2 linked regions of the Xenopus tropicalis genome follow. The protein of the gene in region 2 purifies or fractionates together with the protein of the main gene of each other region. This does not show direct contact. Links are inferred from orthologs where the notes say so. Each region holds a gene or a part of one and is shown on either strand. Other genes may lie near its edges. The genes, in order: noa1 and mrps27.

Region 1 (16,856 bases), about 91 Mb from region 2:
GTTGCGTAATCCTTCCAGGGAGCCAAGTATTGTTGCCTGGAGCTGCAGATTTGGATTGTAGGGGTCATGAATGAAGCACCAGTGTAGGTAGTGTATTTGTGAAGCTAAGAAGTAATGGTAAGAGTGGGGGAGGGCTAGGCCTCCTTCGGCTAGTGGAGCGCATAGTTTTGTCCAGGCCATTCTGGGGGGTCGATTGTTCCAAATAAATGGTAGGATAATCTGGTTAAGTTTCTTAAAGAAGGTTTTAGGGATAAAGATTGGGGCATTGTGCAGTATGTATAAAAATTTGGGAAGGTATATCATTTTTACTATATTTATGCGGCCCCAGAGTGTAAGTGGTAACTTGGACCATTGGGTCAGTCGGGCTTTGAAATCTGACAGCAAGGGGTCTAGGTTAAGTGGTATATAGTTAGTAGGATCTGTAGTTATCCAGACTCCTAAGTATTTAAATTGATTGGTCCATTTTAAAGGTATATTGGGTATTACTGGTTGTGGTTGAAGAGGATCTATAGGGCAAAGGATTGATTTATCCCAGTTGATTCGCAGACTGGAGTAGTGTCCAAATTTGTCCACTTGCTGCAGTAGAGAGCTCTGGGATCTGCAAGGTATATTAGCAAATCATCTGCATATAGCGATAATTTTTCGTGGATATTACCATATGTAAGGCCTCTAATCTCCGGTGAGTTCCTAATCAGTATGGCTAGAGGCTCTATTGCTAGAGCAAATAATATTGGTGAGAGCGGACAGCCTTGGCGAGTCCCCCTTTCCAGTGAGAATGGGGGAGATGTAATCCCATTTACTCTGACTCTTGCTGTGGGATGCTGGTATAGTAACTTGATCCACTTTAAGAATGTTTGGCCAAAGCCGAAGCCGGACAAGACCTCCCATAGGTATCCCCATTCAATTGAATCAAAGGCTTTGGCTGAGTCTAGGGAGGCAACAACTCTGGTATCGGTCTCTAAGTGAGGGATTTGTAGATTGGTAAAGAGCCTTCTTAAATTAATATCAGTGGATCTCCCGGGCATAAAGCCTGATTGATCCGGGTGGACCAGGTCGGGAACCACCCTTTGGAGCCTTGTCGCCAGAATTTTGGCCAAAATTTTGGTGTCTGTGTTAATTAGGGAGATGGGGCGGTATGAGGAACAGAGGGATGGATCTTTGCCCGGCTTCGGAATGACCACTATTAACGCCTCCGCAAAGGATGCAGGTAGGGCTTGATTGTCATAGGCATATTGTAGAGTTTCTAGCAGTTTAGAGGGGATGTATTCAGCTAGTACCTTATACCAGTTGGAAGGTAATCCATCCGGGCCTGGTGTCTTATTTGAGGGGTGGGTGGCAATTGCCTCGGCAACCTCTTGCTTTGTGATCGGGGCATCTAAATATGCCTTATCTGGTGGGGCTATTTGTGGAATGGGTATGCTTGCTAGGTACTGTGCTAGTTGTGTCGCAGAGTAGGTGGTTGTGTATAAGTTCTTGTAGTAGGAGGCAAACTGCTGTGCAATGTTCTTGGATTCTGTGGTAAGCGTGCCGTCATCTTGGCGAATGTGGGGGATCGCTGTAGAGTTGTTTTGGGGTTTGGAGAGGTAGGCTAGTATCTTGCTATTCTTGTCCCCCTGCTCAAAAACGCGCTGATTCTGGTATAGCACTGTCAACCATAGGCAATAGGTCGGCTGAGGCAAATGCCAGATCAATTCTAGATAGGGACCTGTGAGTAAGTGAGTGACAGGAGTAGATTCTCGCTGTGGGGTTTTTCCATCTCCAAAGGTGAAGAGCGTCTGCCCATCCCGCAAGTCTAGTAGATGTATTGGGTTCTGGTTTGGATCTATCTAGGGAGGTATTCATGCAATTATTAAAGTCTCCCATGATGATAAATGGACTTATGGGGAACTCTGCCAGTTTAGAGACAATTTGATTTAAAACGGACATAGCAAACGGCGGCGGCAAATATATATTAATAATTGTTAGGGGTTTGTGAGCTAGGAGACCATGAAGAATCATGAATCTACCATAGTAATCTGTATGTAGCTTGATTAATTCGAATGGCACCCCTTTGCGTATTAGCACTGAGACTCCTCTGGAGTAGGAGGAGTAGGTAGAGTGATAGTGCCATCCCACCCAGGGTTTTTTAAGTGCTAGAATTTTTTGGCCCGTAAGGTTGGTCTCCTGGAGTAGGAGGATAGAGGGAGGGTATCTCTTTAGGTAGGTAAACATAAGGCTCCTTTTTAAATTTTGAATTAAGGCCTCTTATATTCCAAGAGGTCACTGAAATTTTAGCCATATTGCATTGGGTTTAGATTGGTGCCGCTGTGAGCGATGTCCGTCATTATTTTGTGTTTGCAAAGGAGTATCTTATAGACTTGTAAGACCTGAATAGTGATAATATAGACAGATAAAAAACATAACATTCCCAACCAAAATTCCCTATCCCACCCTACCCACCTTCCCAACTTAGGCGGGTCTTGTACCCAAAACTGTAGTATGCTATTCCCACTGTATTTAACCTTTACTTTTATAATATTGTTATTAATGCCATTGAATCTTTTTTCATTTAAAATAATAAGGGCTTTCCATACAGTTACCTGTAGTCCAGTGGTGCTCATGGCAGCTTTTTGCCACTCTGTGACACTCCATAATTTAAGATGGGTTCTCTTAGGTGATGCATTCATTTTAAATGTTTAGAAATAGTATTCACAAATAAATGTCAGAGAATTCATAGCAAATGTCTCTCTAAAATTATCCAAATCACCATGCCCATTGCATCATTCAAACTTGGTTATTTTAAGTACAAAGATTATTTATTTTTTTCAATGTCCATTATTTACTAAAGCATCTGATTTAAAATAATCACGCCAATGTGAATTTTCTGTTTTCAGGGTGAAAGGCCAGCATGGTTTTCTGTTATTGCTTCCAACTTGCTTCCGGTTCACATAACCAGCCTTGACAAAGCAGATGACATATACACAAAGCATGCTGGTGGAACATTACTTGGTGTAAGGCTGTTCCTATGTATATTTTGTAACTTTATTATTGTAGACAGTAAAGAAAATGTCATCAGTATATCAGTGTATCCAGTCTTTCATTCATACCCCAGCAATTGTTAACTTCTAAGAATTCTAAATCAGAGAGCTGCTATACAAAAAGCTTAATAATTCAAAAATCACACACAAAAATACAAAATAAAGATCAGTGGGGAAAAAAAAGTCATGATACTAATATTTTATTTAATGGTGAACTACCTCTTTGAGAGACAATATACCAGAAGAATTTTGTATGGAAGTCGTTTCTTGGAAGGGCATATACACACTTGCCACAGACTGCCACAGATAGTAATGGCATAATAGTAGATATAGTAATTAGATACTAATGGTATTTTATTATCTCTGCAGCAAGAGAACAGACAACCACAGAGTGTATGTTTTATGATTTTATGGTTAATAGCTGTTCTGGGTATGAGAGCAAAAGGGGTGGATTTTATTTCTGTAATTTTACCCATTTTATATATTTCAGTTACACATCACTGTTGTGCCTGTATTACATTTATTGTACAGAGGCTAGTGGAGCTGGGATTGTTTTGACTGTGTTAATTGAATTCTGCATTGTTCTTGTATACTTGTTAGTCCACATAAGCTCCAAGTTAAACCACATACAAGGTATTTGGGATAACTCGGAGGTAAAGAAGTTAATAGGATAAAAAAGAACGGCATTTAAGAAATGCAAGTCAGGGGAAAAAAGCAGCATTTAATGAATATAAACACACAGCAATCCGAAAGGCAAAGATAGAATTTTTGGGGTTAGTTTTAGCCTCTGCCGCAATGCACTCCTCATTTTCCAAGTGTACATTAATAGTAAAAAACTGGCTACAGGATCAGGTGGTTGTTAATGGTACAATTCTCTACTTGGAGTAAGGTTTTCAGTGGGGTTCCCCAGGGTTCTGTACTAGGTCCACTTTCGTTTAACTTCAGTTCATTAATGTCTTAGGGGAGGGTATTATAAGTAATGTATCAGTGTTTGCAGATGACACAAAACTCTGCAGCCCAATCAGATCCATCCAGGATGTGGCATCCTTACTCTAGGATCTTGACAAATTTGCAATCTTGGCGGCTATGTGGCAGATGAGATTTAATGTGGATAAAAGGTCATGCACCTGGGATGTAAAAATATGCAAGCCACTTATAACCTTAATGGGACTGCACTTGGCAAATCCATAATGGAGAAGGACCTTAGAGTTCTTGTAGATAATAAACTTGGATGTAGCAAGCAATGCCAGGCAGCAGCTGCAAAGGCAAACCAATGTTTTGAGCTGTATTAAAAGGGGCATCGATTCGCAGAAGGAGGGGTTGCAGAGCGCTGCTAAGACCCCATCTAGAGCATTAGAGAGGGTCTAGAGAAGGGCATCTAAGGGTATGGAAAGTCTTAGTTATGAAGAAAGACTGGCCAAGTTAGGGTTGTTGGAGAAGAGGCGCTTAAGGGGTGATATAATAACTATGTATAAATATATAAGGGGATCATATAATAATATCTCTAATGCTTTATTTACCAGTAGGTTCTTCCAACTAACAAGGGCACCCATTTTGATTAGAAGAATGGAGGTTCCGTCAAAATATTTGGAAAGGATTTTTTTTTTACTGTGAGAGCTGTGAAGTTGTGGAATTCTCTCCCTGAATCAGTTGTACAATTGTATAAGCTGACACACAGATAGCTTCAAGAAGGGGTTGGATGGCTTTTTAGCAAGTGAGGAAATACAGGGGTATGGGTGATAGCGCTTAGTACAAGTTGATCCAGGGACTGGTCCGATTGCCATCTTGGAGTCAGGAAGAAATTTTTTCCCCCTCTGCGGCAAAAATTAGAGAGGTTTCGGATGGGTTTTTTTTTTTTTGCCTTCCTCTGGACCAACTAGCAGTTAGGCATGTCATATATAGGCATTAAGGTTGAAGTTTATGGAGGTATGTCTTTTTTCAACCTAACTTACTTTGTTGTTTTTGTCCATAAAAAATTTTGTATGAATTTTTTATTTCATTCCTTCTGTCAACAAAATTTACCAATTTACCAATTATTGTTACTTTGTTACATATTGTTGCTCTTGAACATTGAAAACATTGTTTCCCCCTCTAAGGGGTTTAATTGTGCATTTATGGAAATTCACGATGAATGGCTTAAAACCTTTACTTAAAAGTAAGATGAACTTTTGTTTCTCTATGTTGAAATACTGCAGAATTTCACATTTCAGTTCCCCGCAGTGTGAGACATTTTGTAAACATTCTGTGATCTATTATTTTAGGGGCATTTACTGGGAGGGGGGGGGGTTAGTTTAGGTAGGAAAGCTATATATTGTGTTTTTTCAGGAGAACCTGAGCTTTCTAAATCTGGTTTTTGTGTATTTCCACTTCTGGAACAAGATTTAGAGCTCTAAATACAAAAAAAAGAAAAATTTATATTTTTTTTATATATAGGTATTTATGGACACATTCTTTTGATTTGCAAAGCCTTATGTCTCCCAAACATGCCAGTACCTGATATGTATAGTTTTATGGAGATTTCTGACTTCTATAGATCAAAAACTCCCAGCAAGTAAGTAGTAGAATAGAGTCTAAAACAACTGGACTTTTGTGAGTTTATCTTGATAAGTTTCACCACTCATCCAAGTGGCTTCTTCAGTTCAGTTCAAATGACTGGTAGGGAATTCCCTGGCATTTAAACCCTTGAGGGGTTTCTACTAGATATTGTATATCATGAACTGGATGAATGAGAATCTTCATAGACATAGTAAATTACTATAGACCGTAAATTACCACATTTTCAAAGCATTACAGCAGAATACGGTGTACTTTAGATTCCAATAAGTCAAAAATCCTGGAACATTAAGTTTACCCCAGGAAACCATATATTTTTGAAAAACACACATTTTGCTTTTCTGAATTTAGCAGTTTCTATAAAAAATTATGAAAATTCTAAAAAATCACCTCAAAGCTTTCACTTTCAAGCATTATATCTCCCACATAACATTAGGTACCAAGAAAATATAACGTAAATATGAAAGCCAAGGGTCTACTGAAGAGTTTGATCCCCATTGTACGTAAGATCACTAAAGTATCTGGCATTTACGGACCCCAAAAGGAAGTTAGGGCATACATATTTCATGGAATATAAATCAGGCTGTGTACTTTTTGGTAGTAAAAATGGTAGAATTGGTAGACCCCAGAAAATACATATTCTGTTGAATGTAAAATGGGTAAATATGTCTTTGTATGGCAAAGCACCAAACAGCATAGCTATGCTAAATGTAGCAATTTTTATGTCATTTCTGAAAATTGTTTCAAAGCTTGCATTTTACCCTATTCTATATCCTACATTTCGTACCATATCGGCATAAAACATTTTAAATATTAATGCCACGCGACTAATAAACAGTTTGATGCCCAATATGCATAGATTTACCAAACTATGTGGCATGTACAGTAGAGATGCACTGAATCCACTCTTTCAGATCAGTCTGAACCCTTCGTAAAGATTTGGCCGAATATCGAACCGAATTATGTTCTGTGCATGTTGTGTGCGTCCGTGTGCAAGTAAGTGTGAGTGCTGTGAATGTGGGAAACCAACCCCCCCCCCCCCAAACACAAATGTGTGTGTGTAATAAGTGTGTATATATGTGACACTAACCTGGGAACAAGCAGGCTGAAAATCTGGAGAAGGAGGCAGAAGGGGACCCAGGAACCAGAGGAGGCCATTTTCTGTCTGATCCAGTGACTGGTGAGGGGGAGCAGAAAGTGCAGGCAACAGCAGGCATGTAGTTTGCACGTGCCTACTGTTGCCTAGGGGCCCCTGGGCGGCCGTGCTCCAGGGGCCACTCATTCCCCACCTCTGCTCAATGCCTAGGGGCTGTGGAGCTAAGGAGCGGCTTTAAAAGCCGCTCCTCCGCCCCAAACCCAGGAGTGCTACAGATTGTAGAATCTACGACCTGTGGCACTTGGGTACTTTTATCCATAGAACGTAGATTCTACGTTTTGCGGCACTTAAAGGGTTGAAAAAAGAAAAGAAAAAAACAAAATAAAAAGTGGCTATGCTAAAACAATCCTGAACTCTTTGGCTACAACAAGGGAAAATAGTATGATATCCATTAACACAGTTAATGTTTCCTTTTCAGATTAATGAAAGGGCCATTGTATAACATTCTGCAACTTTTGTGTGTTAATGATGTCATGGTATTTAAAAGCATTGTGTAAATAGCTATAGCTGTGTAAATTATGAAATTGGCGGGTAGATGAGATGCTTTGCACAGAATAACCCATGCCTTTTTCTTTACTGAATATTTTCTAGAAAAATCAAGTATATGTAAAAAACTGAGTGTGGATTTTCATCTGGCAATGCTATCCATAAATTAATAACATTTCTTGACTTTAACCTTACTTTTCTTTTACTAGGTTCCAATTGGAGGAGAGGAGAGAATGAAAGAGTTTCCCCCCCTTCTTCCACAAGATATTAAACTAAAAGGAATTGGTGCCTCTAGAGCTGTTGCTGATATCAAGCTTTCTACTGCAGGTTATTGACTTAGATTCTTGAAAATTTGCTATTTTTATAAATGAGCCTGCATATTTATAGGTCCTAACAAAGCATCTCTCCCCACTGACTTGAATTTTTAAATCCTTTCTTTTTCATTCTTATTAACTTAATGATTTAATATCCCGTCCCAGTCTGCCAGTTAAAGTAATGGTTTTAATAGTGCTAAATTTGCTTTCCTATAATTTAAAATCTTCTTTAAAGACTAGTGTATATTTGCTTTTTGGTACAAACATGAAATGAGACAATAGTCACTATTGCCATGTGTTCCAGTACTTGAACATTTGTAATGTATTCTGCTTTGTTAAAGATCCAATATAGCATAAATTCTGCTTGGGTCTTCCAAAGTCTATGAAATTAACTGTGCTAGCAGTATTATTGCTCCAACTTTTATCTATATGATATGACATGATTAAAATCCCCCATTAAAAAGACTTGCCCCGGCCTTCTAATCTTTCTTTTTGCATCAAAAGCTGAGCCTCTTCCTCTGAACTTAAATGTAGGGGTTTCAGCTGTGATTCTTCTCCACAACTTCTTTCTTTATACAGCTTCTCCCTTTTAAAATGTCCCCTATCCTTAAGAAACAAGAAATATACATATATTATTTCTCAGTTGTGTGAATAATTCTGTCTTGCTTTAATAATGCAGATCATAAATTTTAATTCAACTGCAGCTCTTTTACCTTTTTACCATCCAAACAGAATAAACATATGTATCTGTATAAAAATTTTTTTTAATTTTGTATATGCAACATATAGTTCTTCCTGCCATATATGATCTACTTAACATGTTTACCATATTTTTTTCCTGCTATGCCCAGAACCACTTTCAAAGAGTTTCTTACTTCTCCTTAACACCAATGACTGGTTAAAAATCTCCTTCAACCTTTTAGCCATCCTCTCCCCCAAAACAGCTGCTCCATCACCATCGATGTGAAGTTCATCCATGGCAAGAGCAGTTCTGGGATAAGTACCAGAGGCCCTACACCCCCTACATTCCCTACACTTTGTCCTTTGAGGGTGTGTCCTAAAGAAATATTTTGCACAGCACATTTTCTGTTAACACAAGTTTCACATTTGCCTGATGCATATCAAAACTGTCCTGTGCTACGTTTTGCAATGTGAAATTGATTATTACAAGTGATCTGATAGATATATGGTACTGGCTACTGGTACTGGATTAGGTAGTCTGTAGCTGCTGTAAAAGCATACACTGGTCTCTAGAGCCCAGCACAATACACTGATCATCTTCAGATAGAATGCATCCTATGTAATAGGCCTTCTGATCAGGGGTGTTGTTGCCAGGAGTCGAAATAAAGATTTTCAAGTGCTATTGCACTCTCGGCACTGTGTAACTGATTGTTACAGGAGCTGTTTTATTAAAACAGGCTTTTAAATAATTTCTTCTAGAAAACAGCATATTTTTAAAAATAATTATTTAAAATTTAATTGAAAGGACTTAGGGCTTCTGAGACTGAAAATGTCAGTCTTACTGCCTATAATGCTATTATCACTTGCTTATACATGCTGTGTTTATTTTTTCAAGGGTATGAAATATTCAAAATACATGATCACGTGATCTCCTTTTCTTTTTTAGGCTGGATTGCGGTTACAGCTCACTCAGGAGAACAACTTCATTTGAGGTGCTTTACCCCAAAAGGAACATCATTAACAATTCGTCAGCCTCCACTTTTGCCGCTAGTTGTTAACATTAAAGGAGAGAGGCTTAGAAAGGGGCCAGCCTACGCAACTAAAAAGCCTCCCTGTCTTGTCCAAAATTTGAAATAGGCTTAGATTTAGACCATGAACTGAGACTATAGGGTTATGACAAAGAAGGAGGTTTATCACTATGGTGTTTAAGTAAAGTTGTCCATATATTTAAATTGCCGCTGTATCTGTAGATTGATTTAGATTTTAAAGGAATCACATATCATCACTTTTATAGCCTGCTGTATATTGCTGGATATCCAATATTTAGAAACATTGCTGGATATTCAAACTGCTTTCTTTATGTCATTGGGGGTTACACGTTGTTTCGGAGGGACAGGGGCAATAGAAAAGGAGGAGGAGTGTGTCTGTTTGTTAAGCAAGAATTAAAAGCAAATATTAAGGAGGAAGTGATTGGGGTAACAGAGGGAGCTGAATCCTTATGGGTTGAGCTTCTCACAGATAGAAAAGAATCTACCAAATTAATGGTAGGGGTATGCTATAGACCCCCTAATGTAAGCGAAGAGAAGGAGGCTCAGCTCCTGTTGCAAATAGAAAAGGCTGTTAGTTTGGGGCAAGTGATAAGAATGGGGGATTTTAATTATCCTGATATTGATTGGAGCAATAGTACTGCCAGGACAGTAAATGGGAACAAGTTTAGATACTTCTTGCATGACAACTTTATGTCACAGGTTGTTGAGGAGCCAACCAGGAACCATACTATATAGGATCTAGTGATCTCTAATGACCCAGAACGTTTAACAAATGTGCAAGTGGTTGAACCCCTGGGTAATAGTGACCATAATGTTATTTCATTTGATGTTTGGTGCAGGAAACAAATTTACACTGGGGCAACAAAGACACTGAATTTTAGAAAAGCAAATTTTAGCTCCTTAAGGGCAGCACTTCAGAGCATAGATTGGGGCATTATGTTTTCTGATAAAAACACAGAGCAGAAATGGTTGTCATTTAAAATTATATTAAATCATTATACTGATCCTCAATTTTTCCATTAATAAGAAAAAGTAGAAGTGTTAAAAATTACCCTATGTAGCATTGGGGACAGTAGCTGTGTTTAAAGGACATGTCAACCCCCCCAACCAAAAATTTTTAGCAGTGAAAAGCCTCACAGCATTCTTTATATACCTGCCACTCGGGTCCCTCAAAAGCAAACAGTGAAGTTGCAGCCGATCGCTTGATGTTTCTCTCACTGTAGAGCTCAGTGACTCCCTCTCCCCCCTCCCTTCAGAATCTCCTTGTCTGCCTGGCTTGGTGCACATGCGCACTATCAATCCATTTTAATGAGCCTGCATGTTCGGCAGGGCAACCTATCTGTTGTTTTTAATAAAGCTTGTTAAAAAAAAAAATAATCCAGGCAGGAGGGGCTATGTGCACATGCGCATTTGGAACATATACCGAGCTCTCGATGACGTCACCCGGCAAAATGCCCGCCGGGTGACAGGTGAAACGGCAAGAAAAAGAATGCAGCGATACAGGCTGCAGGAAGAGCTTGAGGGAGTGAAAGTTATGCGTTTGAGGTGGGGGTAAGGTGCCCTTGGCATTAGACCTGACATTAAAGTGAAAGTTGACATCTCCTTTAATGAATATAAAACCTATAACAAGTGTTGTAAAACAGCAATCCGGAAGGCTAAGATAGAAAATGAGGAGCGCATTGCAGCAGAGGCCAAGACTAACACCAAAAGGTTTTTTAAGTATATTAATAGTAAAAAGATGTAGGTTGAGGGATAGGCCCCATTGATTTATAGTAACAATATGGTTACAGTGGATACAGAAAAGGCAGATGTGCCAATTCTTTTCTTCTGTGTATACAGTAGAGGAGCCAGAGTGCCAAGTCCCACCCAATAGCTGCACTGTTGCCTCAGCTCCAACTACGCAGTGGTTGACACAGGATATGGTGCTTAAAGGGTTACACAAGATAAATGTAAACAAGGCACCGGGGCCAGATGGAATACACCCTCGGGTACTGAGAGAGCTAGGGAAAGAATTACAGTGGCCTCTGTTTCTGATATTCTCAGACTCTCTTTCATCAGGTATGGTACCTAGGGTTTTGAAGAAGGCGAATGTCATTCCTATATTTAAAAAGGGAGTAAGATCTCAGCCTGGCAATTATAGGCCTGTAAGTTTGACATCCATGGTGGGCAAGTTATTTGAAGGCTTGTTAAGGAATCACATACAAAATTATGTATTGGAGAATGGCATTATGAAGGACAGGTCATGTCAGACCAATTTAATTGCTTTTTATGATGAGATGGGTAAGTAGCTGGACAGTGAGGATGCAGTAGATATAATCGATTTGGATTTAGCCAAAGCATTTGATACTGTTCCCCACAAGCGACTACTTTCTAAACTAAGGTCTGTTGGTCTTAGTGAAGTCGTTTGCACATGGATAGAAAACTGGCTACAGGATTGGGTACAGAGGGTGGTTGTTAATGGTACATTCTCTACTTGGAGTAAGGTTCTCAGTGGGGTACCTCAGGGTTCTGTACTGGGTCCACTTTTGTTTAACTTGTTCATAAATGACTTAGGGGAGGGTATTATAAGCAATGTATCTGTGTTTGCAGATTACACAAAACTCTGCAGACCAGTCAATTCTATCCACTAGGCAAATCCATAATGGAGAAGGACCTTGGAGTCCTTGTAGATAATAAACTTGGCTGTAGCAAGCAATGCCAGGCAGCAGCTGCTGCACGGGCAAACAAGGTTTGGAGGTATTAAAAGGGGTATAGATTCACAGGGGAAGGATGTTATTCTTCCCCTTTACAGAGCGCTGGTAAGGCCCCATCTAGAATATGCTGTTCAGTTTTGGTCTCCAGTGCTCAAACGGGACATTATTGAATTAGAGAGGGTCCAGAGAAGGGCAACTAAGCTGGTAAAGGGTATGGAAAGTCTCAGTTATGAAGAAAGACTGGCCAAGTAGGTTCTGTTTACACTGGAGAAGAGGCGCTTAAGAGGTGACATGATAACTACAGTGTATGTATTACTTTTTAAAAAACTCGAAGCACTTGAATTCCACTATCTAACTATAAAGGGCTATTAGTGATCAACTCCCTATGAGTGTTTGAACCCTTTCCCTGCCATCACGTAGATTTCTATATTGTCATTAAAGGAAAAGTAACACTAAAAATTTTTAAGTAAAAAAATCTATTCTACCCTGCCCCAATAATTGCCCTATCCTGCAAACCACTTAGTATTTTGAATGCTTTATTAGAAAATACCTAATTAAACTGGGCTTCCGGTCATTTGAAGTAAGGCAATAACGCCAAAGGAAGGAGCAGCATCCACTATGCGACGGTCGATTGATTGATCAAGCCTAGCCTTCCTTCTGTATAGGAAGGAGTCAGGCTAGGCTCAATCGATTGTTACAGTGGATGCTGCTCCTACCTTTAATGGTGTCGACATCCTGCTGGCTGCCAGGCTGTTCCCAGACCTGCATGCAAGGAACAGAGCATATGACAGGAAAATTATTAATTGTACAGAACATTTTAAGGCTATATTGATCCCTTGATCTTAACATTTAATGAAGGGCCCAAATAACACAACTATACCCAAGGAAACTATACCCCTGAACATTGTGGGTCTCACTAAAAATATATCCCATATAACAGCCCATGTTTGAACTCTGCTTCATCTAACTATTTTTATGTTTTAGCAAATACTTAGTCACACATAATAGACAAACATAACTGCTTGACTACTATCACATGCTTTTTCTGAATAATGAACACATTGGACGGTATAAGGCCTTTAAAGCTGCATGGGAGGCTGGCTATCGTAGATTAACTGTGCTGGCAGACAGATATTAGTTCAGGTATCACTGGGCAGAAAAACCTACCAGCTGTTGAGTTACTGGCTAGCTGTTTCATGTCCTCCTTTGGGCATCTGTGGCTCTGCAGCAGTATACGTAGGAGCGCAGGTCCCCAGAATGCTTGACAGATTCTCCTCTGTTGCTTTAAACAAGGGGTGGCCCTTCTGTGCAGCTTACTGACACAATGTTAAATTAATATAAAATTAAATTAAAAAATGATTAATTGCCAATGTTGCAGTCATTTTAAACAGTTGAAGTTTTTCCTTCAGCTCTAGGCCTGTGCAAAGGGGGGCAGAGATTAGGGTAGGGAAGTGACCATCTGTATATGTATGTATGTATGTGTAACTTTATTTAAGTGCCACAAGGGTAGGCAGCGCTGTACAATGTTACAAAATTACACACAAGGAGGACAAGTTTTATAACAAATACAATAAATAAGTTGAAATACACAGGGAATAAGAGCCATGTGGTATGAGACACAGTAGGAAGGAAGTCCCTGCCCCGTGGAGCTTACAATCTAAGTGATTGGGTAACATACAGGCACAAATTGGAAGGTAAGGACTAGGCAAAATAATGTTTTGGTGCTCCGGAAGGTAGCATCTGCATTTTATCTTAAAGAGAGTGGGTGAGTGTTCCCTACGGAGGGATTCAGGGATAGAGTTCCAGAGGTCTCTATCTGCTAGGAAGTGTAACAAAAATAGGTCTAATCCTTTACCTGTTCAATTGTAAGCTTAAATTTACAAGTTATGAGACATTGTTTTATGACCATTTACAGACAGTTGGTTAAGGTTCTCTGAATAAGGTCACTGCAGGAGTGTGCATGCATATTAAAAAAAAAAAAAGCCTGACAACCTCCTTCAGAGGAATGCAACTCGGAAGGACTGTCAGGGAGGGCTTTGCCAGGAGGGAGGCACATGCTAGGAGTCAATACTGATGATGTCTTGTCGCCGACAATGCACATTTGGATACTGGCTGTACAGGACTGAAAACAGTGTGGTTGAGGAGGTAGTTTAAGCTATTTAAAAAAACAAACCTTCATTCTTTTTTATTTTACACTTTGCCACCTAGAAATCAAAAGACAGAGAACACTATTACTGGTGACAGTTCTCCTTTAATAAAACACATTGTTTGCCTAGGAGCAGTAACCCATAGCAATCAATCAGCAGGAAGCAGTTACTGGCTACCTGTTTAAAAGCAAACATTTTATTGGTTGCTATGGGTTTTTGCTCCTGAGTAAATTAAGTCCTTTTTTAGTGCATATGGGGTCTTCTGTTTTAAGAAAGAGATATCCATGTTGCCCGGATTAAAATAAATAAATAAATAAATAAATAATAGGACCATAAAAGATGACCAAACATAAACCTGGAAAAGTTTGCCTAGTTGCTATGGTAAATAAGACTATTGTAACCAAATAGCTTCTGTTGGTAAATAAAATAACGAAAAAAAAACAGAAAAGGCAAATTGAAAAATTGTCAAAAGGCAGATTTCGGATACATGGGCAGATTTCGGCTGCCATTTCGGGGTCCATTAGACCAATTTGGCAGCTTACCTGCACATGTATTGGCACCCCTCCATTAGGCAGGTTTGATTTTCCTGTCGTATTGGGGACCGCATCAGCTTGTTGATTCGGTTTGAAGTCAGCCGTTTGCCCTAGGGCCAAATTAGCCTGATATTGCCTACCTTAGGTGGGCATATTAGGAGAAGATCAGCTCCTTTGGTGACCTTGCCAAACGAGTGGATTGTAACGTGTGGCCAGGTTGAAAGGTTGAAAAAAGACACGTCCATCAAGCTCAACCTTAAAGGAGATGTAAACCCTGCTGCACAGCACTGCTCAACAAAACTATACTCAGTTGTTGCTGGACTACAAATCCCAGAATAATTTAACATATAATGAAGGTAGAGGCATGCTTGGGAGCTATAGTCCAGCAACACTAGGGTTGTATTCTTAAAAACTGTCCCTATCGCAAACCCCAACCTAGAAGAGCAGCGCACCAACGTACCTGGGCTCCATCTTCCATTCAATCGTAGAAGCTTTGGGTCTCACCGCCGATGCGGATACTGCTTGAGCATGCGCAGTTGGGGCTATCAGGAAATCAGCTTCAACTGCTCTTTTGGGTTGGGGTTTGCAGCAGGGACAGTCTTTTAAGTTACAGAGTATGAGATAAGGGAGAGGTGAGGGGGGTCGATGCAGGCCATTTTTATAGCTTGGGGGGTGGGGGTGTAGTTCAGTTTCTCAGCACTGAACAAGTCTGTCCTGTATCCCCATGTCTGATTCCCGTGTCATATAATGAAGGGAAAAATGACATAATTATCTCTATATGTAAGATACGGGCTAAGCAGTACGGGTTAGCCCGTACTGGATACTGTTCTTCTGACTGCCCCTCAGCATGTTTCTCAACTCTGTCCCCAGGCTCCACAGGGGGAGCTAGCTCCTGGAGTTCCTCCTCTCTGCTACCCATCTCCCATAAAGCAGGTGCCCCTGAACCTTCAGGTAAGGCAGGGCTACTCCTCCATAGTGGATACAGGTTCCACATCTCCATTTGACCCTGACCCTCTGGGTAACTTGCTCGCATTGGTGGCCCCACTTGCACCTCAGTTGGTAATGCCCATCAAATAATCGGGGGTCCCACAGGCGATGAAGTTTGAGCCTTCTCGGACTCCATTCCCTGTGTCAACAGCCTTGTCCTGCTCTCCGGTACAGGGTAGAAAACACATCATTTGAGTTGGTCTCGGTGTACCCGCTTATACTTCCCCTGATCCCACTCTGGCTCCACCAGATAGATTCTGATGTGGTTGAGCAATCACTACATCCGGATCAGGTTACCATTTTGGCCACAGCTTAGAACCTCGCTGTGCCTTTGGGTTCCGCATCAACACACGATCCCCCTTCTTTAATGGTGCTGGGTCCACTCGTGGTACCTCTTTGTGGGCCTCCTGCAACCGCTTAGCAAACACCCGTATCCACTGCTCTGGGCTGCGTCCCACAGGGGCCTCAGGTGCTGGTGGCAACCAAGCCTGCCTGCCTACCAAACAGCAAGAAGAAGGGGGTAAACCCTGTGGTGGCATGCACTGTGTTGTAGGTCCATACCACACTGAGCAAAACTTCTCGCTACCTCTCATGATACTCCTCTCCCAAAGTTTTCAACAGGTTCAGCAATGTTTGATTGAAACGCTCACATATCCCGTTACCTTGGGGGTGGTAGGGGGTAGTGCGGGACTTTCGCAGAGTTCAGTAATTAGCTGAGACTCAAAATTCGGGCCTTGATCTGACAAAACCTGCTGAGGACAACCATATGGTCTTATTACATGAGTCCACATCAACTTAGCTGTGGTCTGGGCTGTTTGGTCCTTGGTAGGTACCACCACTACAAACTTAATTCAACTCAAACTTAACTCAATTAACAGGAGGGCTTCCCGATACCCTCCCAAGGCCCCAGCTACCATCATTGGGATGATACTCTAATAATCATCCTGGAAAGCAGTTAGCACATGGTTACAACTTAATATTTTAGCACTCAGGAACACAATACAATCACTTGTACAGCACATTAATTGCATAAATATATAAGGGCACTGTTAGTAAGCAGTAAGGTTGCCACCTTCTGATTCTCGGAAACCTGGGTGTGGTTATGATGTCATGGGGCGGAACATGTGATGTCAGGGGTGGGGTTATGACATGGAGATGGTTGATTCTCTACTTTGGAAAACCAGGCAAGGAGTTTTGACCTGGAGAGCCCTCCTGAAAACCAGGCTGTCTGGGCCAAACT
Region 2 (15,528 bases):
TCCCCCCAGGGACTCACTAAGGCTGTTTGGTGTACTTTTTATTAGATCCGTGTCCCCATTTTGGGCTGCAGAAGAACGATTCTGTGCCTTGTTATGTCCGTGCCAGTCCAAAACTTGGATATATCACATGCATAGTGCACTGTGGGCGTGGCTAAAAGTAAACGCATGCATAATGCTCACCGGATCTCTGCATGTGCTCTGCCAAGTTTAGCTGATATTTTACTTTCATTCTTATGTTGTATTTCATTTGAACATTTGTTTTTATTGTACTTGTATATGTGGCATCTATTCATAAACACTAATCCCTCTACTACTCTTCCAATAGCATTGTGGGTATATAATGATGCTGCCGATATATCCGGAGCGCTTGTTTTATCCTCCCCTGCCAACTATGAATTGTGTTTTGTTTACAAATTTCTTTTGGTTTAAATCATTGCAGGAAACATTAAAGGGGGGATATTCTATGATAAAGACTTAAATAGCCTGTAAAGGGCATATTTTCTTGTGTGCACCATTCCTTCTCTGCATGTCTGTACTTTTACACATACAGAAGCTGCCATATTGCTTACATGTCTTATCCATTCTCAATAGACAGGGCTGCTAGCATTGTTCCTATTGGGAATGAGGTTTAAAGGGCAACCTGTATGGTAGAGTTTACAGAGAGGGGATATTTGTTGCTCACACTAAATTAAACACTTGCATGTTAAGGAAAACAATGCAAAATAAGTCATTTTTTGTTGCCTTGAGTAATTAAATAAAAGAGTTTTGCCAATTTATTTTACCATAAAACAATATGATGAAGGAGGACAATTTTACTGAAATTGTTAGCACCATGGATTGAACCTGACAAAGGCAACCATTGCCTCAAGTGTTGGCAAGCTACCAGCCCCAAGATGTTGGGGTGCTGGAAGTTGAAAGTCAACATCAACTGGAGGCCTATGGGGTGTCCACCCCTGTATTAGGCCCTGACAACAAAAAGTACTCTATATAGAATTACTGGGACATTACATTGGGAAATTAGAAGTGATAGCCTTAGCTCTGACTGGTACATCTAGGGCCATGAAGGCTTATGGAATAAAGCATGCTCCAGTCTGATAACCCATAGCAACCAATCAGGTGTTAGCTTCCATAACAGCAGGCCAGTAAGTGCTACCTTCTGATTCATTGCTATGGTGTACTAGAACTGATGGAAACTTTAAGCAAAATAATCTTATAACACAGTGTATGGCATTACCATTTCTTGGGGGGAATGAGCATGATTAGGATAGTATTTCACTTGTTATTTAGTGATCTACATGGCAACGCAACTTGAGCAAGAACAGATCAATAATTATTTTTTTTTTACAAAATGTGCCAACTCAACAAATTTGGTACAGGCGTAAATATATAAAACATTGACTGGGGACCAGTGATAGATCAAATATTAGAACACTCCTGATGTTATGATTCTTTCACTCCCATTTATTTCGGATTTTCTAAAAATATTGACAGTACTGGTAGCGGGTTGGGCATAGATTCCAAATAAAAGCATAGAACTGTGCCCATGGGGGAATATAGCAGTACTGCAGAACTCCTTTATGGATGATACCTGAATTGTAACCCTAGCAGGTCTTCTGAGGTCTCTACATACGGGCGACATCCCCTCATCTTCACAAGCTACTGCAATTATGAGAGGAGTTGGAGACAATCAACAGCTGGAGAACCACAGGCTGTCTATCCGTATATAAGAGATAATGTACCCCCTATTGTAAAGTATAAGGATACAGAAAATGGAACTTGAAAATTCCATGACCATATGAAAGGATGAAGAAGCAGGTCATGGATCTTTAATATTCTCATATATTACAATAGGTGCTACATTATTTTATATAACAGATACATTAAATGTGACACAAATAACATCACTTAGCACTGTTTGTAAAATTATATTTTACAGGTTATTGAAGGCTCTTGTGTATTATACAACATTAAAGTAAAGCAGATTCATACAATGTATTCTAAATACACATAGTCCTAGAGGTTCAGTACATTGGGTACAGGTTGAGCCTAGAACACAAATATAGGCCTCGCAATATTGTCATTGACATTCCAGATTGACTAATTTGATTTCCTTCAGCAGAAAAGATCTAGAATTAAAAAGCTTTCTGTACTGTAGATGTGCTGAGCTTAGGAATAGGAGAAACGAGCAATGTTGCTGAACTACAGTTCCCAACACCACTAAGCTGCCTAGTGATGATGGGACTTGTATTTAATCAATAACTTGAGGGCCATAAATTGGAAATCTGTGCTGAATAGGTTTAAATTTATAATAAATAGACATATAAAAGAAATAATGTTGGCCAATAAACACGGTCATATTCACATCTTAGCACTTGAAAGGCTGTGTTTTCTTCTATTCGAAATACCATCGGCTGCCTTAGGTACATGCCAAATATTACACACATCCGGATCTGTTGAGAAAGCAAAAGGATCAGCCCTTGGAGGAGAAAAATGAATCACGGACTTTCATCTTTTTTTAATCTTACCAGCCAAGTAAAATAATAGAAAAGAAAAAAACAGAATAAACTCATTTCACAGACTCTATGACACATTGATTTCATGGTCTTTGGTCTCTGCAATCTGGATATGACTTTGGACAGAAGGAAATGACAAAACAAAGGAAGGGAAAAGGAATTCCTAAAGCTTCTCTGCACTAATATAGCTTCAGGCTCACAGGAAACGCTACAGAGCCACAAGTAACATTCACTTGAGACTGGGCTGTGTTACTCAAGGAACCAATAGCAGCTAAGAACTATTGCTTTAACACTTATGCATGCAGCCGTCTGCCTTCCACTCGTGGGAGAGACCCAGTCTGGGGCTGGCGGGGAAGCTTCTCACATTCCTCTCTCGTTCTGAATGGTGTTAGTGTCAGTCTGCAGCTGTGTATGGTATTATGTCTTATAATCTCGCATCACCTCTACTCTATCAATTCATATCTAATGTAGACCATTAGTTTCCAGTGAAGTAAATATGTAGTGCTTTTATGATATTTGTGTGCAATACCCCACTTCCACTGAGGATATTTGATGTAAAAGAAACAAACTCAATTCCACAATAAAAGAGAAACAAATGTAGAAATATTTCTGTGTTGTGATATCATTGTGTGCATTTCTTAAAAACAGCAGAATGAATTCATATGCAGGGGGATAAAGGGGTCATTCACCTTTCTATTACCTTTTAGTATGAAGCACACAGTAATATTCTGAGAATTTGCATTATACAGGTACAGGTATGGGACCCGTTATCCAGAATGCTGAAGACCTTGGGTTTTCCAGATGAGATCTTTTTGTAATTTGGATCTCCTTACTAAACAATCATTTAAACATTAACTTAACCTAATAGGATTGTCTTGCCTCCAATAAGGATATTATATATAATAATTAAAATGGAGTTTGGAGATGGTCTTCCCATAATTCAGAGCTTTCTGGATAACAGATCCCATACCTGTATGGGGTCTATTATCTGAAATGCCAGGGAGCTGGGGGGTTTCCAGATAAAGGATCTTCCTGCAATTTCAACACAGGGTACAAAATGTGAACAACTGTATCAGCACCTATGCCAAGTAAATGATTTCCTATGCCTTTTGCAATCTTTTAATTGGGACGCTGATACAGTTTCTCTTTAGTAGTCTCTGCGGGGGTTTCTAGAGGGTATTCTAGCATGTGGTATGCCTCCTTTCTGTCATTTTATACCCATAGCCACAGATTTTTGCATCACAGGTCAGTATATGAACTAGGCTTGGTGGTGATCTATAGCTAACATTTCTAGTTACCCAGTGAGTAGGTCCACAGGAAAAGGGGATTGGGGCAACCTCTCCCTTTGAGGAGGAGTCAGATTTTAATGGACAGTTAGGACAAATACATTGGTGTATGCTGTACTTGCCTAAATAATGTATTAGAGCTAATTAGGGCTCATTTATAAACACTGGACAAATTTGCACCTGGGCTGTAATCCCATAGCAACCAATCAGTGATTAGCTTTTTTTCAGCCAGCTGCCAGTAGCAAACCTCTGGTTGGTTGCCATAGGATACTGCCCACATGCAAATTTACCTAGCCTTTATAAATGACCCCTAGAACAAAGCTGAAAGTAGAGAAAGAGATTGCAGAGAATGGAAGAGTGGAGGGTAAGTAGATTTCAGAAACAGTACAAAAGGTTTGATTATATTTAGAAAGATTCTTATCTCCATTAGATGAAGCCTATATTATTTTTCCATCAAAGTTCTCCTTTCAACATATTACAGTTTAATCACTTTCAGCCTTTTCTCATACACTTTAATTGAACATCTGAAGGTTTTAAGGTAAAGACACACTGGGCTACCAGTAGCAGCTACTTTTTACATCTACTAAACACCAGAAAATCCCCTGCCATAGACAATACTGACAATCGCCTCTCCTAAAACACACGTAGAGACAATTATCAGCAAATTATCAGCTTTGTCTATTTCAGTAGCCCTGACAAGTAGCTGCTACTAGTAGCCCTGTGTGTTGTCAACAATGGGAACATTTGCATAATTGCGGTAACCCAACAGATCTAATCAGAACAGAGCTAATCAGTTATTTGTTGCTGTGGATTACTGCCCAGGTGCATTTTTTTTTTTTGATTGTCACAGAATTCTGCTTGCTTGGCAACATCACCAAACGAATGATTATAGAAAGATAGCGGGGGAACCTTTTTCCCCATAAAAAAAAGACCAACCCACCCCTTTAGATGAGAGGAACAGAAGTTTCATTTAAAGCCGTGTAGGTGGTTCTTCACATTGAGGGCAGTGAGGTTGGGGAATGCCCTGCTGGGTGGTGTTGTGATGGCAGATTCTGTTATTGCCTTTCAGAGGGGCCTGGATGAGTTCTTGGACATGCATAATTCTCAAGGCTATTGTGATAATAAAATCTACAATTAGTATAGGTATTGGTATGTATAGATGATATATGCGAGTGTATAGATAGGTTGGTATGAGTGTATGCATATATGTCTGCATTGGGTTCATTAGAAGGGGTAGAACTTGATGGACTTCCATTTCATCTGTTCCATTCACACAAATTAGAAGAGGCTTTCAGCAGGAACAGGAATTTTATTTATGTTGGATCTCTCAGTGAGCTATGGCTATGTAAATACTTGTATGCAATGATCCTGGAAACATCCTGCACTTATACACACACAATAAAGCAATAACAGCTCAGGCGGGAACGGCCATATTGCTCACTAGTGGGAAGGGGTTAATGGAAAGTACAAGTAATTTCTAACCACTTGCCTAATTTTAGATCTATTCATTTTAACATTTGTATGTGCAGTAGTGATTTGAAGTTTATTTAGCCAACATTAAATGAAACAATCTATGTTGTAAATGCTTTAATCCTTTAAAAAAAACGAAGAAAAAAACGGAATTACAATCCATTAGCATTTCAGACAGCACAGATCATTTCCCAGTGGGGACAAGTCATTAATCTCATATAAAACACCAATTTTGTCTTGTAGACCTAGATATTTCAGCTGAATGATCAAATCATACAAAATGTATAAAGATGAAAATGAAAAAAATAATGAAAATACAAATAAATTAGCAGCCAGAGGAAGATATTAAAGGGAAACTACAGATGAATGTATTTAGGCAAGGCACTGCCTCATATTGAACATGAAGGAAACATGTAATATATTTGTACACTATATTATCATGTATTCTCCCTTAAACAGACAGCAAATTATGGGTTTATAGAGTAGATTATTCTGGGTACAGAACACTTCTCTGCATGTTAGCATTTACACTACTGAATGGGAGGTACCATACTGTCTTCCTTGGCTGAGGAATTCTCTATAGACAACCTGCAAATAACCTGTGCAAAGTATCAGATATATACAGAGCCACAGTATCAGCAGTGCTACATGCTGCAATTAGCCAAACACCACCTAACAAGGGCAGCTTGACAAATGTTATGCTCTAAATCTGACAACATTTAATAAGGGTACATTTGTGACCAGACATCTTCTTAGGGCTATTTAAGAAGGATTTTCTCTACATCTCAAAGGAGAACCCAGTTCCCATATAGTATCATACAGCAGTAGCCGAAGTAGCAGCTTGCCTGGCCTCAAATTCTTCTTTTGCCTTTTCTCTCATCTCTTTCTCCCTGGCAGTCAGCTGCACTCGCTCCTCTTGCCATTCTCTGAGTTGCTTTTCATATCTTTCAACATCACTCTTCTCACAGTCTGGAAGAATCTCTTGGACAAGTTTTGTGGTCAGGTTCTGAAGGCCATCAGTTGCAATTTTACTCAGAGAGTCCAGCTTTGCACTCAGCTCCTAATAGAGAGACAAGAAGAAATAAAATGGGCAGAATGTTTTACATTAGTAATAGGCCAAACAATACTACTGTGTACACATGAACATTGCGTACTTCCTTTCATCTGCATTGTGACTTACTGTATCATTAAAGAGATACTGATACCAGAAATCAAACCTTTTTTTACATCTATCATAACATATAATTTTGCAATTTATAAGTATTTGCCCTGTGCTTTTTCATTACCTATCCCCATGTTCCTCTATGAGGGGGCTGCCATATTTGTGCAGCAGTAGGCCATTAGAAGCTATAACTGACAGATTGAGAAAGGACAGTCAGGTTTAGGAACGTCAAGTAACAATTACTTACAAAAGCAGAGCTAATAGTAAAAAAACTATCACCATGCCCTACAGGTAACTTTTAATGTATATCAAGAGTAGTTTTTTAGAGTCAATATCACTAAGAATTCACCTGTCCCTTTTACATCATATGGCCTGTTGTGTAAATAGAACTTCAGATAATAGAGACTTATTTCCTGATGTTGCTGGCCCTTTAATAAGCACTATTTCTTACAGTCAGGTGACTAGAAAACAGGCTACCCTGGGGAGTATGAGAGCCACAATGGGGATACAGATTTAGGCTGAACTGAATGCCCAGAAATGGTACATAAACAAGAACAGCCGCAGATGCCTTTGTGAGCTATTTTTCTGCTCATTACAAACACAGGCGCCAGCTTCTAGATCAACATAAAATATTCAGGGAAACAATCAAAGCAAGCAATAAACCAAACTAACTGACTACACGGACCACCCTACCAGTACCTATATAGGGCAGGTGTGGCATTTATATACAGGGAATTTCAGATTTTTTTTTTTTTTAAATGGAATCCCAACTGTTATTTTTCTGCTGAAAAATGAAACAATGAAGCAAGTAATAAAGCAGTCTCCATTCAGCTAGTCAAGATTCCGAGCACAGAGAATCCAATTAGACTCTACTTTTTACTATTATTAATATTTTATTAGACCTTTTCTATCCTATATATATATATCCTTTTCTAGATAAATGGAAAGAAGTCCTGTTCACAAATAAAGGCATTTATGGGGCAGCAAACATGGATGCTGTCTATGTTTTCAAATATAATAGGGCCCCACAGAGCAGCAGCTGCAGGTAGGAAATATGGTAAGGAAAGACAGCAACAATAAGCATTTTTATCAGTAAACTTCAGTTATTCTAAACCCCAAAAAATGAATTGATGTCAACTTCACTTCTGCAGTTTGCATCCATTTTTTATTTTAGATATTAGCAGTTTTAGACTAATAAAAAGCTTTCAGAGCAACAGTCTTTATGAATATTAGATTGCCATAGACCCAAACTATCTATGGACTTCCTGTATAATCAAGGTGACAGAAAGGTGTTGAGCTTAATGTCTGGTATTGACAATCTAAAATTTGTATTCTAATACTACATTCTACAAATAAAACCACTAAAAATAGAAAACTAATACAAACTGCAAAAGTCCTCACAGAATCATTTTGAGTAATTTACATACATTTTTGTATGGGTTTCAATCCCCTTTAAATACAACTCCCAGCTCCTGAAGAGTGGGAGTACTGTTCTAGTACTGCTTACTGTAAGTAAGATATAGACAACTTGGGCTTGGAAACATGGAGGAAAAAAATGAATTGTTGCCTTGTGTTAAAACACAAAAAGCAAGAGAAAAATGGAATTGCTCACAGTAGCCCTCAATCATCATCATTTATCTATTAAGCACCAGCAAATCTTATTATTTAACAAACAAGGGTTACAGATGAGCCCACAACAGCTTACAATCAAACATGCTAGGAACAGCTGACACAACTACTTTGCCCTGGGAGGTAAAACAGAAACCAATCATTTGTATGTTGCAATCTCACCTGGAATCTATGCAGGTATTCTGGCAGGACGTCTGCCTCTGTCTTCTCTGGATCCTCTGGCTCCATAGGCTCCTCTCCTGATGCTTTAGACTTTTTCTCCAAATGTTGGGCAATTGCAAAGTCTAAGGATTCTTTAAGAATGTCAATCTAAAAAATGAAATAATCTTTATTTCATCCATGAAATATACACATTTGGGATACAATCATTACAAGCGGCTGAACATGCAGATAAGCAATGATAGTTGCTCTCAGAGCTTCCCTACAGTGGCAGCTAAGCCAGGGGTAGCAATAAGCCCTTGACAAAATTATTGAGCCAATCAGTTTGCAGTCACTGGGGCTTATAAAGGGGCTAGTAGATATAACTTACAGAAGACATACATTATGTCAAAATAGTAGGAATGTCCAAACTACACCCTTGTGAAGTCACTGAATCTGAATCTCCCAGTGGTCCAGCTTTTCAAGAGACAGTCCTGAATTATGGACTCCAAAGGCTATGGGACTTGGAATTTGGGCTGAATTTGAGTAAACCTAGGGGTGTTATGGAAACAAATCAAATGTTGGCATATATGAACTTCTGTTGGGTGATGCTTTAAGTTGTTCTTTTCTACCTCCAGATGGGGACTCTATAATTCCTGCATTACTAGACCCCCACCCTCTTTTTCTAACTCCAGCTGTGTAAGCTGTCAAAAAGATCTCTTCACATTTGTGTTAGGGCAGAGCAAATCGGAAACTTTTGTGGGGTGTAGTGCAGGGTGCAAAGTGCAAAAAAATGGGTGGAAACCATCATGGTTTTTTAACTTTGTGCTGAAATGTTTGAAAATATGACCACAGACCCAGAGCGAGGAAAATAATGATATCCCTGCAGATCAGTAATGCTGTGAACAAGACTATTTAACTCCCATCACATCTCTACAGATATAAATTTGATTTCTCCATACTGAAGCTAAATCAAGCAGCAGGACATCCATAACACTAAAACACTAAAAATGGGTTAATGCTGTTATTTTGAATACAGAGAGTTTGAATCTATACAGTTATATAATGCAATTAGAGCAGTAGCTTCAGTACCAAAAATGTTATAGACAAATCTATAAAGTTAATGCACTTCCCTTCCACTGCCATTAACCTAAAGAGTGATAGCAAAGGTCGACCAAAGCGAGATAAAAATACAACAGTCTTTTCTCTTTTATGGCACAAGGTGCAGTGCAATGTGACAAATCTAAAGAGGTTTTGTGCGCTCGTGGGTAAAAGAGATGAAATAAACGGGTAGGGAAGTGGCTATGCCCGAATAAAGCACCTGATTTTTTCCACTTTACTAAACTAGAGACTCCTGGCAGCCGAACACACATGGTTTGGCCATAAATATGAAGTCTTGCAGGCAGGTTCTACTACAACAACCCGGATATCAGTCATTCATTCTGTACTTGCTCAAAAAGGGGAGCTATCACTATTATTAAAACAAAAAGTGCACTTAAGTGCAGTGAATGCGTAATAGCCTTTATTTAATCATTTATTTTAGATATAAATGGTTTATTATTGTGCCTTAACCTAAACTGTGTTATGCTACAAGCCAGAAAAAATGGTTAGGCTGCACAACTCAAAAACAAATCATTAAATAACAATTTTAACAAAAAAAAAAAGGAGAAAAAAAGGAAAAAAAAATAATAAAAACACACTACAGGTCTAGTAACCCTGAACAACCAATAACAACCAAACCGGTTACACTTTCTGACTGCAAGTAATCATGGTTTACTTTTAGGGTTGCCAAGAAAACCACATCCAGTTCACATGGCAATTCTAAATCTCTTCTTCGGGTTTTAGAGATAAAACGATTACCTATTCTTCCTAATCCACTTGCACTTATGTCTCTGTCCCACCTATACCCAAAATATTTACTTCGCTAATCACCACACCCACCAAACCAATCAGATGTTTACATAAGTGTCTGTCCAGGTTTCACAGTTTTGAATTACAGACAAAAAACAGAGTTTACATTTATAGAAATTACTATTTATATAGTGCCAACACATTTATGCAGTGCTGTACAGTGATTAAACATCATTCACAGTCTCAGGCCCAGAAGAGCTTACAATCTAAGGTCCTTATCGCATTTATTCATACTAACTTAACGATTTACCTACCTCTTTACCTGCCTGTTTGTTTTTGGAGTGTGGGTGGAATCTGGAGTATCTGGAGGAAACCCAGACAGACATGAGGAGAACATACAAACTCCTTGCAGATATCGCCCTGAACTCAGACCCCAGCGCTGCAAGGTAGAAGTGCTACTCAATAAGTTCTGCACTGCTATTGGGCCTCCCTGACCTGGCAAACTCCCTCACAAAACTGCCCTGCCCTTTAAGATTATTGCAATGCCCATCAATGTAACAACGGTAAAGTCAATGACATGTCCTTGTTTTTCTTGTCTCCTTTAAACATTGTCTGGGTTTACATACACAGAAAGTTAACAACCATAGAAGCTGCTTTAGGTTACCAGACCTGAGTACATCGCTGTCAGGTTTAAGACAATAATGTAATTAGAGGGTTTCACAAGCAACACCTATGTTATTTCTACAGCCCACTAATAAATATATTATATATATATATATATATATATATATATATATATATATATATAGTGCACTTGATAAAGGGTATTGACCCTAAACATGTTGTGTTACCACTACCCATAATAAATGTGTGTATATATATATATATATATATATATATATATATATATATATATAATACGCAGCTGAATCACCAGTGAGCACCTTAAAGTGGACCTGTCACCCAGACATAAAAAGCTGTATAATAAAAGCCCTTTTCGAATTAAACATGAAACCCAAATTCATTTTTTTATTACCACATCCATATCCATTATAAAGGCAATTAAAAATCCCAGCTGTCAATCATATATTGCCTGTCCCGCCTCTATGCCTTAGGCATAGAGGTGGGGCAGAGAGTTACTTTCACTTTCAATTCAGAACTTCTTAGATGTTGCTTCCCTCCTCACATTCCCCCTCCCTCCTCACCATGTCATTTTGTAACCATTGCATGGACATGGGCATCAGGACCCCCCATACTGGCACAGAAACAAGATATTGGCAGGATGCAATGCCTGCTTTGATAACAGTGCCCACAAAATGGCTCCTGCCTGCTTGCTGCAATTGTGAATTCCAAGGCTGAAGAAAATAAGATTAAAATAATTTATATAGTGTAAGTAAAGTTTATTTTTCTTGACAAACACAATAGAAAACAATTTGGAATAATTTCTTAAGGTGACAGGTCCCCTTTAATCTTCAGTGTCACCAAATTCATCCTGCAAGCTTTAGCTATAGTTTGCTTTATGGCGAAGCCTGTTTAGGGGGTCTGGTGCACAGGCAAATTAAAACATTATCCTATTGATTTTAAAGGATGAGCAATTAAATGTGAACCGAAGAAAACAGCAGATCCCTAATATTTATGCTGGTCCTTCCTTCTAACTCTGTAAATGAGCTATGTAAAGATGTGCAAGTGCCAGTTTGGTTAATAAATGCTCATGTGATTTTCTCAATTAGCAGGAAATGGCTCGGGACAATAAAGCCCTTGCACACGGCTCAGGGTGACATTTAATAACTTTCCTGACAATGTATTACACAGAATTTATATTTCAGCAGTTAATCTAGGCCAAATATAGATTTAATTTGACATGGATATTGGACTGGATTATACTGTTGACAAAATGATATGAATTTTTCTTTACTGAAGCACATTTGCATATTTTTTACTTGAGCACAAAAATGAACTTTGTTTTAAGTTGTGACACGTTAAAATATTAAAAGTTTATTTTCCGTTAGTGCTGCTTTCTGCAGCATTAGAAAAAGATTCACAGTGGAATAATCACATTACAGCACTCATTATAGATTCTCTTAAAGGAACAGTAACTGAAAGTGTATAAAAGTAACTAAAATATAATGTGCTGCTGCCCTGCACTGGTAAAAGTTGTGTGTTTGCTTCAGAAAGGCTACTATAATTTATATAAATAAGCTGCTATGTAGCCATGGGGGCAGCCATTCAAAGGAGAAAAGGCACAGGCACATAGCAGATAACAGATAAAACACTATTGTACTCTACAGAGTTTATCTGTTATCTGCTATGTAACCTGTGCCTTTTCTCCTTTTTCCAGCTTGAATGGCTGCCCCCGTGGCTACACAGCAGCTTATTATATAAATTATAGTAGGGTTACTGTAGCAAACACACCAGTTTTACCAGTGCAGGGCAACAGTGCATTTTATTTTTATTACTTTAAAGATCTTTAATTTTTTGGTGTTACTGTTCCTTTAAGGTTGATGGATTAGATCAGTGCTGTTTAACTTCTCTGGTACCGAGGGCCGGAATTTTTCTGTCCTACATGGTGGAGGAACAATAATGGAAGCCAATTTTGATCACTCCCCTTTTTTAAACTGCACCCACTTCAACCCATGTTATGAAGCTTTTAAAACCATACCCACATTAAGTCTGGTAGCGCAGCAAAATCCCACATTTTCACTGCAGGGATATCACCCTTCATTCATATGTCAAAGAGGTTTATAATATCATATTAAGACATTCCCTTAAATATATATGCCTCCTCTGGGGATAGCACAGCAACCCCCAGCACATAATTACATACCTTAGGGACCCCCTAAAAACTATTTCCAAATGCTAACAAATTCCCAGAACAAACCCTCCCACAAGCAGCATAGGGCAGGCAGCATATGGCACACAGGCAGCATAGGGCAGGCAAAGTATGGCACACACAGGCAGCACAGGGCAGGCAGAGTATGGCACACACAGGCAGCACAGGGCAGGCAGAATATGGCACACACAGGCAGCACAGGGAAGGCAGAGTATGGCCCATAGAGGTAGCATCGGGCAGGCAGAGTATGGCACACACAGGCAGCATCGGGCAGGCAGAGTATGGCACACACAGGTAGCATAGGGCAGGCAGAGTATGGCACACACAGGCAGCATGGGGCAGGCAGAGTATGGCACACACAGGCAGCATAGGGCAGGCAGTGTATGGCACACAGAGGCAGCATAGGGCAGGCAGTACATACAGTGACACAATGCCTGGGACCTGGTTTCTGGGATCTTTCTAAAATTTAAATTACCAAACATTAAACCTGCTAAAAATCATTTCAACATTTAATAAACCCAGTATGATTGGTTTGCCACCAATATGGATTCATGCAGCCAGGGTCCGACTGGGGGGTGCAGGGCCCACCGGGGCTGCTGTCAAAATGGTGAGCAAGTCCTACAACATATTCTAACTGGTATAATTATGACAAAAAAAAAATAAATGTGGGCTCATTTATGTCTACAGACACAGTAGACAATTTGCGCATTTCCCCACAGTGAGTTGGCTCTAAAACCACTTGCATTAAAGGTCCAAAGGTCATTAAAGATTAAAGTTCCAAATACGCTCAGCATTTCCATATAGTTGCACTCAGTGCCCATCAGTCCTTCATGCCTTCTGTTCCAAATTGAGTGTTGCATCTGAAGTTGTGTACTGTGTCGATTTTGAGTGTTAGAAACTGAGTGTTGTTTCAGCAGCAGTGCGCTGTGTCTATTGCCACACAGCACAGTGCGAGCCCTGGCGCTACTGTCACCACCTGACCAGGTGATAGCTCCAGGGTTCCCTCAGCGCTCTTCACCAATAGACAAAGACCACTTGCGCCTAAAGGACGGTGCAGATGTCATCAGATCCAGCAAACACTGATGCCAGACAGAGTGTAAATTATATTAAGTGAAACTACATGTGATTTACAGTGAAGAACATTTGCACAGTTGCATCCATTTTTACAAAAGCAGACACAGTAACACTGGACGTGGCACGAGTCAGATGCAGCGCAGTTGTGTCCAATTCAACATCCACATTGCCCATGCAGTGATGCTTGAATTCTGAGAAAACCTGGTGCATTGTGGGAAAAAATGGCAATTGTGTCTGAATGCACTTTTCCTCACTGCGTCAGTGTAAGTGAATGCACCCTATGATCCGTGTTCTTGTGTGACTGCTGCTATCTTTCATATATAGTTACATAGGGTCGAAAAAAAAAAGTCTATCAAGTTCAACCCTTCCAAGTAAACCCAGCCCACACAAACCTATACTTACCAATCTATACATTCACATACATAAACCATATATACCAACATCAATACTAACTGTAGCTTTTAGTATTACAATGGATATTATGGTTGTTCAAAAACTCACCCAAGCCCCTCTTAAAGGCAATAACAGAATCTGCCAAAACAACATCACTAGGAAGGGCATTCCCCCAGCCTCACTGCCCTCATTGTGAAAAACCCCTACACTGCTTCAAATGAAAGTTCCGCTCCTCTAATCTAAAGGGCGACCTCTGGTGCGTTGATTCTTTTTATGGGGTAAAAAAAAAAGAACACCCTCCTGGAAATATAACCTGGAACTTATTTTTAACAACATCTAATTATAGTCATGCACCAACACAACTGTTAGATGCAGGGGATAATTAATTTAGACCTGGCACTTACATTGCAATATTGACAGTTTTTATCTTACATAAACCTAATTCCTGGTAATGGCTGGAATCCTTTTTTTGCTGCATGCCCAGGGCAATTGGCCTAAATTATATAGTCAAGGTTATATCATGGTAATGATCACCCTCTTCTTGAACCCTGTTATGGGCGTTGCTAGTTTTTAAGCCTTTAGGTTACAGACAGGGATACAGTCTGATGAGTCTATTCATATTCCATCCTTGAGGCTATAAATGGACATAGCACTTAGCAAGGACATTAGGCTTGCTATAACAAGTGGGCGGATAGGAAAACAGAATGTGTTACAAGTTCCTGTTCATTTTTAATCTAGTCATAATAAAGTGACTGGGATAATATGCACAGGTATAATTCATATACTATTGCTAGGCACAGGGATGTTGGAAACTTACCAGTTTTATAATATACGATCATTAGTTTTATAATATACGATTATTAGTTTTATAATATACGATTATAAGGGGAGAACATACTATTCGCTCAGGCAGAGGGTTCCCAAGCTGTGTCTGTCCATCAGTGGTTCATCAATGGCCTGAATCTTTAATATGATGCAAAACAGACCTTTGGTGGGAGCAACAAGAACCAAAAAGCACAGAATACAAATTTGGGCATGGGAGGTTTCCGTAACCACTGAATGACTAGCGCTATATATTATATATATATATATATATATATATATATATATACATATACAGAAATGTACTATTTTACATTATTTTAACAGCAGCCAGCTGCCTATTTATCATTCTTTCTAAAT

What was found.
Region 1: the proteins of mrps27 (region 2) and noa1 purify together in Homo sapiens (co-immunoprecipitation; 3 studies listed by BioGRID and IntAct, counting the BioPlex papers as one, with this or other methods). This does not show direct contact. The link is inferred for Xenopus tropicalis from reciprocal best matches to the Homo sapiens genes MRPS27 and NOA1.

Annotation. Positions count from the first base shown.
Region 1 is NC_030677.2:91,931,037-91,947,892, reverse strand, and holds the end of noa1 (nitric oxide-associated protein 1), read left to right. Parts: intron 1-2,873; coding exon 2,874-2,990; intron 2,991-7,421; coding exon 7,422-7,539; intron 7,540-9,153; coding exon 9,154-9,344; 3' UTR 9,345-9,439; downstream 9,440-16,856. UniProt on the Homo sapiens protein: Involved in regulation of mitochondrial protein translation and respiration. Plays a role in mitochondria-mediated cell death. May act as a scaffolding protein or stabilizer of respiratory chain supercomplexes. Binds GTP.
Region 2 is NC_030677.2:182,824,351-182,839,878, forward strand, and holds the end of mrps27 (28S ribosomal protein S27, mitochondrial), read right to left. Parts: intron 8,370-15,528; coding exon 8,223-8,369; intron 6,330-8,222; coding exon 6,084-6,329; 3' UTR 5,372-6,083; downstream 1-5,371. UniProt on the Homo sapiens protein: RNA-binding component of the mitochondrial small ribosomal subunit (mt-SSU) that plays a role in mitochondrial protein synthesis. Stimulates mitochondrial mRNA translation of subunit components of the mitochondrial electron transport chain.